2 linked regions of the Arabidopsis thaliana genome follow. The protein of the gene in region 1 purifies or fractionates together with the protein of each later gene. This does not show direct contact. Each region holds a gene or a part of one and is shown on either strand. Other genes may lie near its edges.

Region 1 (3,754 bases):
CCCTCCTGAGAAATAAAATGGAAATTTGTAGACATCAGCGATGAGGTCCGACACCACTCCCCTCAAGTTTTCTTCAATAATTCATTTTAATCAGTTTTATATGCTTGAACAATTAAACTGAATAAGAGTTCGTAAGAACTATGAGTCTAGTCTAGATTCCATTTTCGAAATATCAAGTTTCAAATGATACTTACAATGAAAGGGAACAGCCATGAGATTCCACTGCCATTCTGTCTTGCAGCAACAGTCGTTGGACCAGCAAGAGAAGGTATCCAGAAAAAACCTTCCGTTAAGAGCCCCTAAAGTTAGAAACAAGCATCCAACTACTTGTCAAAAAAGAATCTCAAGGCACTTACAGATACAAAAGGATATAGTTATTTCCAGGTACCTCATCTGCAACATTTGAGAGGGCTCTATATAGCCCAATCCAGACAGGTATCGTGGCTAGTGTGGGGAGGCAGCCTAACAGATAAATGAAAATATAGCTTAACCATAAATGTTGTCTCAAATGGAAAAACATACGATAAGCTGAAGTAACATACTGTACCTGCAAGGGGATTTATTCCAGCAAGCTTATACAATCTAGCAGTTTCAAGCTGAATTTTCTCCTGCAAAGATAAACAAAAATAAAGAAGCTATTTGTTTAAACAAGAGGGCTATATTCATACATAGTAAAGCTATAATATTTGTTATATTCATTAGTATCCCTCCACAATTGTGGAACCAATAGCAACACACATGTTCTTACTTTTTCCTTAACTCCATCAACTAAGAATTGATGCAAACATAACTTAGTATAGCATCAGGACAAATAAAACCCATGTGTACAGTATAGAAGAATTGTTTTTCACCTGATCACCAGCATACCGTTCCTGAATAGCCTTTATTTGAGGCGTCAAAGATTTCATAGCCATGGCAGATTCAACCTGTAGAGAATAAACCACCAATTCAATAACATGGACTAAAAATGATATCATGGCTTAGCAGCAATAGAAACAAACTAAAAACCTGTTTTTTCGTCAATGGGAACGTAGCAGCCTTAACAAGCACAGTCAATAGAATGATAGCGAAACCATAGGAATAAGGAACATGTACAGTTGATAACCCATCTTTCAAAACCTGCAATCCAATTCAAAATCAATCATATAGCTACACAAAAATTCATTTCTTTCTAAACCAAAAAAGACAAAACTTTTAATACCTTGAGAATAGTTTCCATGTAATTAGCAATACCAGAGAACCAATCATTGCTCTGGGTCGTTTTGGTAGTAGTGCCGGCGACAGATTCAAAGGTTTCAGAGGACGAAACGGCGGCATCAGCGATCGTGTACAGCAGATTCTCGGCATGGTCCTTGATGAAATCAAAAGAATCTGGTCTGAACCCGAGTTGAGCTACGAGAGTCCGATAACGAGACGACGACGACGACGGTGTGTGGCTGAAACGGGAGCGGCGGAATTGGAGGACTTTGCCTGTGGAGAAAGAGGAGAGGATAAGGTGCGTCGGCTTTAGGGATATTGTTGAAGACATCTCTAGGGAGAAGAAGGAAGGAGAGTTTTAGGGTTTTGGTTGAGAAGACAAAATGGGGAAGATTTGGATTTTGTTGGCAGTATTGTTGTGTTGTTGTGTTCTTGCTTTGCGTCTCAGTGTGCGAGACCGACCGAACTGAGAAGTGGAGCAAACCAAATTTTGTTTTTCTGATTTTTTAAAACTAACAACACAAACTATATATCTCACCTTTTTTATTGACTTTTTCTAGGGTAAATATAACAACATAAACTATGGCTCCGAATGGTGACTGTGTTTTGCGATGCGGGAAAAGTGCAGTGCGGTTCAAATAATAACAAAAATACATAAATACATATATATATGTAAAAATTTTGATATTGTTACAACACTGTTACGATACGGTTTTGGATACGGTTTTAGTCACCATTCACAACCTATAAATCACTCGTTAACAACTATAACCAATTAAATTCTACAACGAAAAGTAACACTAATATCTATACCCGAACTTTGGTGGAGAAAACCATAGAGATAAACATTTCATGATTGTTAGTGATTTTTGTTTAAGTATAAAAATATGTGAAACATACGATGAAAAGACTGAAATAGTATAAATTACATCTAACAACCAATAAATCAGGAGAAAAAAAGAATAACATATATTGGAGGGTGATGAGTGATGATGGATCCGCATGTAGTAGATGTAAGTCGTCGTCATTGCCCAGCATTCACTACTGTTGCGTTTCCCATATTCACTTGTAAACTTATATTCTGTTTGAGTGGCACTGCAACCATAAATAAATATTTATATACATTAGTTAATTCAAATAAAAATTATAGTAGAAATTCAAATTAATAAGATTTATTGCAATAAGTTTATAAAAATAAAAATAAAAGGAGAATACGAACATTCTGATTCCGGGTGGCGCCTAGGTTTGATGAAATATTTCCAGACGCCCCAACCACCAGCTCCAAGACTTAACAAAGTCGGTAATGAAATTCCAAGAGGTAAAGCTAAGTTGCTGCTGCTTTTCTCCTCTCCTGATTTACCTGAAGAATCTTCATACACAAACACAAACGTACCACATATTAGACTCGAACCAACGATCTCATATCATTTGATAACAATAATAACATGATTATTAACATCCAAAGCTTCATAAATGTTTTTTTTTTATATATAAATGATATTGTTATACGACAAAAACTTTGAAAATAATCTCTAGAAATTGTCCCAAACTATATTAAGTGACTATTCTTCTAAAAGTCCTAATATGGAAAAAAACATCTTAATTAAAAAAAATATTGAGAACTGATATGCCTGCAGATTTTTCATCTTCACTAGCTTTGTTGGTTCCTCCATCTCCATTATTGCTTCCTCCTAAAATATCGTTCAAACGAAGAAAAGTGACTTATAATTTTAGTTTTCAGTTTAAGTCAATTTTCTTACGGAGCTAGTAATTTGGAGAGCATGTTTTTGACCAATCTATCTAGAAAAATGACGGCTCAAAGTCGGACTAAACCGCCTCCTAGTCGGCTATGTTTTACAATGAAAGTTTTTGGTTAAACACTTCCCATTCTTCTAACCTTTAAGCCTAGTTATGATCTTGCATGTTGATAAAAGGCAGTTGATCGTCAATAACTAGAAGCTAAATCTTGCATCCTAATTAATATACCCACACGAGTTCCTCCCTTTCAATTCAGTATCCATATATTTTAAAGAACCACTAGAGTAGAGTTACTTATATATATAGATTTATATATTAATATATAGATTGATATCTTTTCTACAAAACAAACCGTTTTCTTATTATTGTCAGAATTAGTAGCCTCTTCTATTCATTATTTATCTCAAACCAAAATTATTAAAATTAACCGTATTTTACAACATATATATAAGATAATGAAAAGAATAATTACCGGATTTGCCTCCACCACCGCCCTTGCTTGGGCTGCCACCACCACCGCCTGTGCTAGGGGGGCTGCCACTACCACCGCCAGTGCTAGGGGGGCTGCCACTACCACCACCAGGACTAGGGCTGCCACCACCGCTCGTGCTTGTTGAATTCGTCCCGTTTCCACTTCCACCACTATTACTAATGACATAGAGCTCGAGAGCGTTGATGAGTGGGTCCAAAGTCGAGTCTGGTGTAGCTTCAAAAGTCAGATAGGCAAGCTCAGTCTTCACCACATCCCTCAAAGAAGCTTGAGTCACTGCCCCGAAAGGTGGCACAATTAGATCTGAAC
Region 2 (3,754 bases), 3.4 Mb from region 1:
GATTCTGTGTGTTCTATGATTCGATATCTTGGATTTAGAGTTTTCTTTTCCATTTATTATAAGGAGAACTTCGGATTAATCCTTCCTCAGTTACGCTTGATTAGTAGTTCGGTTTCTTTCTGAGATTGCGGATGTGAATTGATGCAAAACATTACCTCTTTTTGATGATTTTCATAATGGATAGGGATGCATTTTAGGATTTGAGTGTGCAATGAGATTACAAGAGTTGGTTCTTGTGAAAATCAGCTTAGTTTTCTTATGGTTAATTGGGTTTGTCTTCCTGCAACGTAGTGAAGAGAATGGATTTGAAGAACCAAACAATGGGGAAGAACTTTCCTGGGATGATCTGGAGAGAGAAGCTGCTAGTAATATATCATCTAAAAGATCTCATGCTGAGAGATCTCACCAACACGAATCTTTTACAAAAGGTATCTGCAAAAAGATTATTTCTTAAAGTAATGTTTTCGAGTTATTGTAGATGGTGAAACTTTTGCTTAATCTATGGCAATGTTATCTGTTTTGTCATCTTGATGATGTGAGTGATGTTACAAAGCATAATATCTGTGATTGATCAGGTGACGAACTTTCTGGAGACTTGTACGAACTGTGGAGGCAAGAACAGAACAGCATTGCGGCAAGGCTAGACAAAGAGCTAAAATCCAGGTGGGAACTCGATGAACTGATTGAAGAACAGCTGAGCAGATACCAGTCCCATTACGACAATTCCATGGTTTCAACTTTCTTAAAGGATGTCTCTAACCTCGTCTTACCCACGTGGATACCACCTCATGAGCTAGCTGCTGTGGCCTGGCTTGGAGACTGGCGTCCCACCTCCATTCTTGACCTTGTCCGCATTCTGGCAGCTCAAAACCCCTCCTTCTCTCTGTCTGAGTCGAGTTTACGCGTGCTCTCTCAGCTTTTACGTGAGATACGCATCGAAGAGGCCGTTATTGATGAGGAATATGCAGAAATTCAGGCCACCGGTGTCTTGTACCTCCCTTTTTCCCCGCTCTGCAATACTCGGTTGCATGAAGAAGCTCTGCGTTCTGTGCAGGAGCTGTTTGGGAACATACATAAAGTCATCTCAAAGGCACAACGACTCAGGTTTGCTTTCCTCCCCATCATAAATAAAAGAGAATTGTTGAGAATGAACAGAAACAAATAGCTGACACCAGATAGTGTGTGTGGTTAATGATGTCTTAGTTTTGTTGAGTGAAGTGAAAGCTTTGATCAGCATTATGAGAGAAAGTTGTTATGATTGGCAGGTATAAAGTGTTGGAGCTGGTGATGAAGAAGCTGCTGAATCAAACGGATACAGCCGAGTTTGTGGTCGCATTTGCAGGGATTCAAGACGCCATACACCAGTTTGGAGAGCAGAAGAAGCTAAGAAAGATTTACCCAGCAGTTCCTTCACCTCTGAAGGGATCAGGATCATCTAGTTGAGAGCTTTGTAGAAGCAAAGCAAGTCCCAGTTTCATAGTAAAACTAAATGCTGTGATGTGGGATCTGCCTGCTTGGAACTAATGCCTCTTCATCAACCCATACATGTTTAGGATGTACATGTTTAGCTATCACCGTCCTCTGGATTCATTGCTATTGTACGTACGTTGTAAGTCATAACAAAGATATTGACAATGATAAAACCAATTCTTGTATACAAGTTTTTCAGGCTCTTCTTAACACTTAACATGCAAATTTGGGTCATCATCAGTTGTATATGAAAGAATATGTAGAGTTTCATATATTTCCAAAAACGTTAGAGAACTATTAACATGTGACCCATTGGGCCTGTTTTACACCTTTAGGTCCATTTAAGTTGACGTGCTCCAACTCGTAACCTCCGATTAATGCCACATGTTCTCTCCCGCCTGAATCATGTCAATCTCCCACAAAAGATCTTTGATAAAAAGAATTGAGCCCTAATTCCTTGATGTTTGTTGAATCGCACAGCAGATAAAAAAAAATGGTGTTGGCGGAGCTCGGCGGCCGGATAACCCGCGCCATACAGCAGATGAACAATGTGACAATAATCGATGAAAAGGTTTTGAATGATTTCTTAAACGAGATTACTCGCGCTTTGCTCCAGTCCGATGTTTCTTTTGGCCTTGTGGAAAAGATGCAGACCAATATTAAGAAGATCGTTAACCTCGACGATCTAGCAGCTGGCCACAACAAACGCCTGATCATCGAGCAGGTTTAGTTTTACCGCAGATTCATTCCTAATCAATTTCCAAAACAGAGGGGTTAATTCTGTATAATTGATCATGATTCTCTTTCAGGCTATCTTCAAGGAACTCTGTAGGATGCTGGATCCAGGAAAGCCTGCCTTTGCCCCCAAAAAGGCCAAACCTAGTGTAGTGATGTTCGTCGGTTTACAAGGTCAGGTTTCTGTAAGATGCTATACTGTTTTTTGCACAGTGTTTGATTGAGTTTGGTGAGTAGATAGATCACATTTGAGTTTTTGACTATGTTTAGGTGCTGGAAAAACCACAACATGTACCAAGTATGCTTACTATCATCAGAAGAAAGGGTACAAAGCAGCTCTAGTGTGTGCGGATACTTTCAGGGCCGGTGCTTTTGATCAGCTGAAACAGAATGCCACCAAGGCTAAGATCCCCTTTTATGGAAGGTACTCAAATCAACCCCTTTGCATGCTGTGAGATCTTATTCTTGTCTATCCACTTTGTATGAGGATTTATATCTTAGTATTCATCTTTCTTCTTGCTTTCTCGTAAGACCTTTGGTGTTTTTCATTTCCAATGGATATTAGCTTACATACAGCAGTATCTGTGTAAAAACTATGGTATTTTGTGGTTGGTAGAGGTCAATGTACAAAGTTTATGAAATTGTTTGGTTTAGACTCGACGTTTATTTTAGGTCAGTAGCCTGCAAAAATCTGCAATGAAAAGGAATATGGTTACCTACTATGTTTCTTTATCGATCATCCAGTAGGTTTCATCATACTTATCCAGTTCTCTGTGTGCCACTTACCCTTTAGAGTTTCTTTAAGCCCTTTTGCCTGTTTTTTTCTTGCGTTTTTTGTTTTGGACCTTGGAAAACTCTATCAAAGGGTCTCACTTGTTCGTCAAAGATCTCAACAGTTTGCATATATCGATTTTTTGAGGTCTTGTGTTATCTTCTGTTTCTATTTGCAATTACTGCGACTACGCTATTTGTAGTTTTGGATTTACTTCAATGACAGTAACAGAGGGAAATGAAAAAAAAAAGAAGATATACTGGATTAGAACTATCCTCTCGAGCGTAGTGTGATAGCATAATGTGCTAATGCTGACAGGAAAAATGCTAATTTGTGATTCGTTGCAGCTACACAGAATCCGATCCTGTGAAAATTGCTGTTGAGGGAGTTGATAGGTTCAAGAAAGAAAAGTGTGATCTTATTATTGTTGACACCAGTGGTCGCCATAAACAAGCAGCTTCTCTCTTTGAAGAAATGCGTCAAGTTGCTGAAGCAACGGTATGCTCTGTTGTCTTGAAGTCTGTTTTTTGTTCATGGTTGATGTTGCAGGCTCTGATCATGGTAATTTTCACTGTTCAGGAACCAGATCTTGTTATATTTGTTATGGATAGCAGTATTGGTCAAGCTGCATTTGAACAAGCTGAAGCTTTTAAGGAAACTGTATCTGTTGGAGCTGTAATTATTACTAAGATGGACGGCCATGCCAAGGGAGGTGGTGCTCTTAGCGCGTAAGTATCTTGTAGCTACTGAGTCTTCATGTGTACTCGAAATGGTTAA

What was found. The genes of interacting proteins can lie anywhere in the genome.
Region 2: the proteins of ALB4 (region 1) and ATHSRP54A purify together in Arabidopsis thaliana (affinity purification with western blotting, with the first as the bait; one study listed by BioGRID). This does not show direct contact.

The regions. Positions count from the first base shown.
Region 1 is NC_003070.9:8,680,138-8,683,891, reverse strand, and holds the start of ALB4 (OxaA/YidC-like membrane insertion protein), read right to left. Parts: upstream 1,698-3,754; 5' UTR 1,529-1,697; coding exon 1,202-1,528; intron 1,120-1,201; coding exon 1,009-1,119; intron 927-1,008; coding exon 852-926; intron 609-851; coding exon 548-608; intron 463-547; coding exon 389-462; intron 300-388; coding exon 195-299; intron 6-194; coding exon 1-5. Other genes in the region: AT1G24485 (ER protein carbohydrate-binding protein), read right to left, coding at 1,998-2,292, 2,413-2,566, 2,829-2,888, 3,428-3,754. UniProt on the Arabidopsis thaliana protein: Required for the insertion of some light harvesting chlorophyll-binding proteins (LHCP) into the chloroplast thylakoid membrane. Plays a role in the accumulation of some cytochrome b6f components in the thylakoid membrane.
Region 2 is NC_003070.9:5,270,157-5,273,910, reverse strand, and holds the start of ATHSRP54A (signal recognition particle 54 kDa subunit), read left to right. Parts: upstream 1-1,852; 5' UTR 1,853-1,963; coding exon 1,964-2,194; intron 2,195-2,279; coding exon 2,280-2,379; intron 2,380-2,475; coding exon 2,476-2,629; intron 2,630-3,324; coding exon 3,325-3,475; intron 3,476-3,556; coding exon 3,557-3,705; intron 3,706-3,754. Other genes in the region: AT1G15320 (seed dormancy control protein), read left to right, coding at 212-428, 576-1,104, 1,266-1,443. UniProt on the Arabidopsis thaliana protein: Component of the signal recognition particle (SRP) complex, a ribonucleoprotein complex that mediates the cotranslational targeting of secretory and membrane proteins to the endoplasmic reticulum (ER).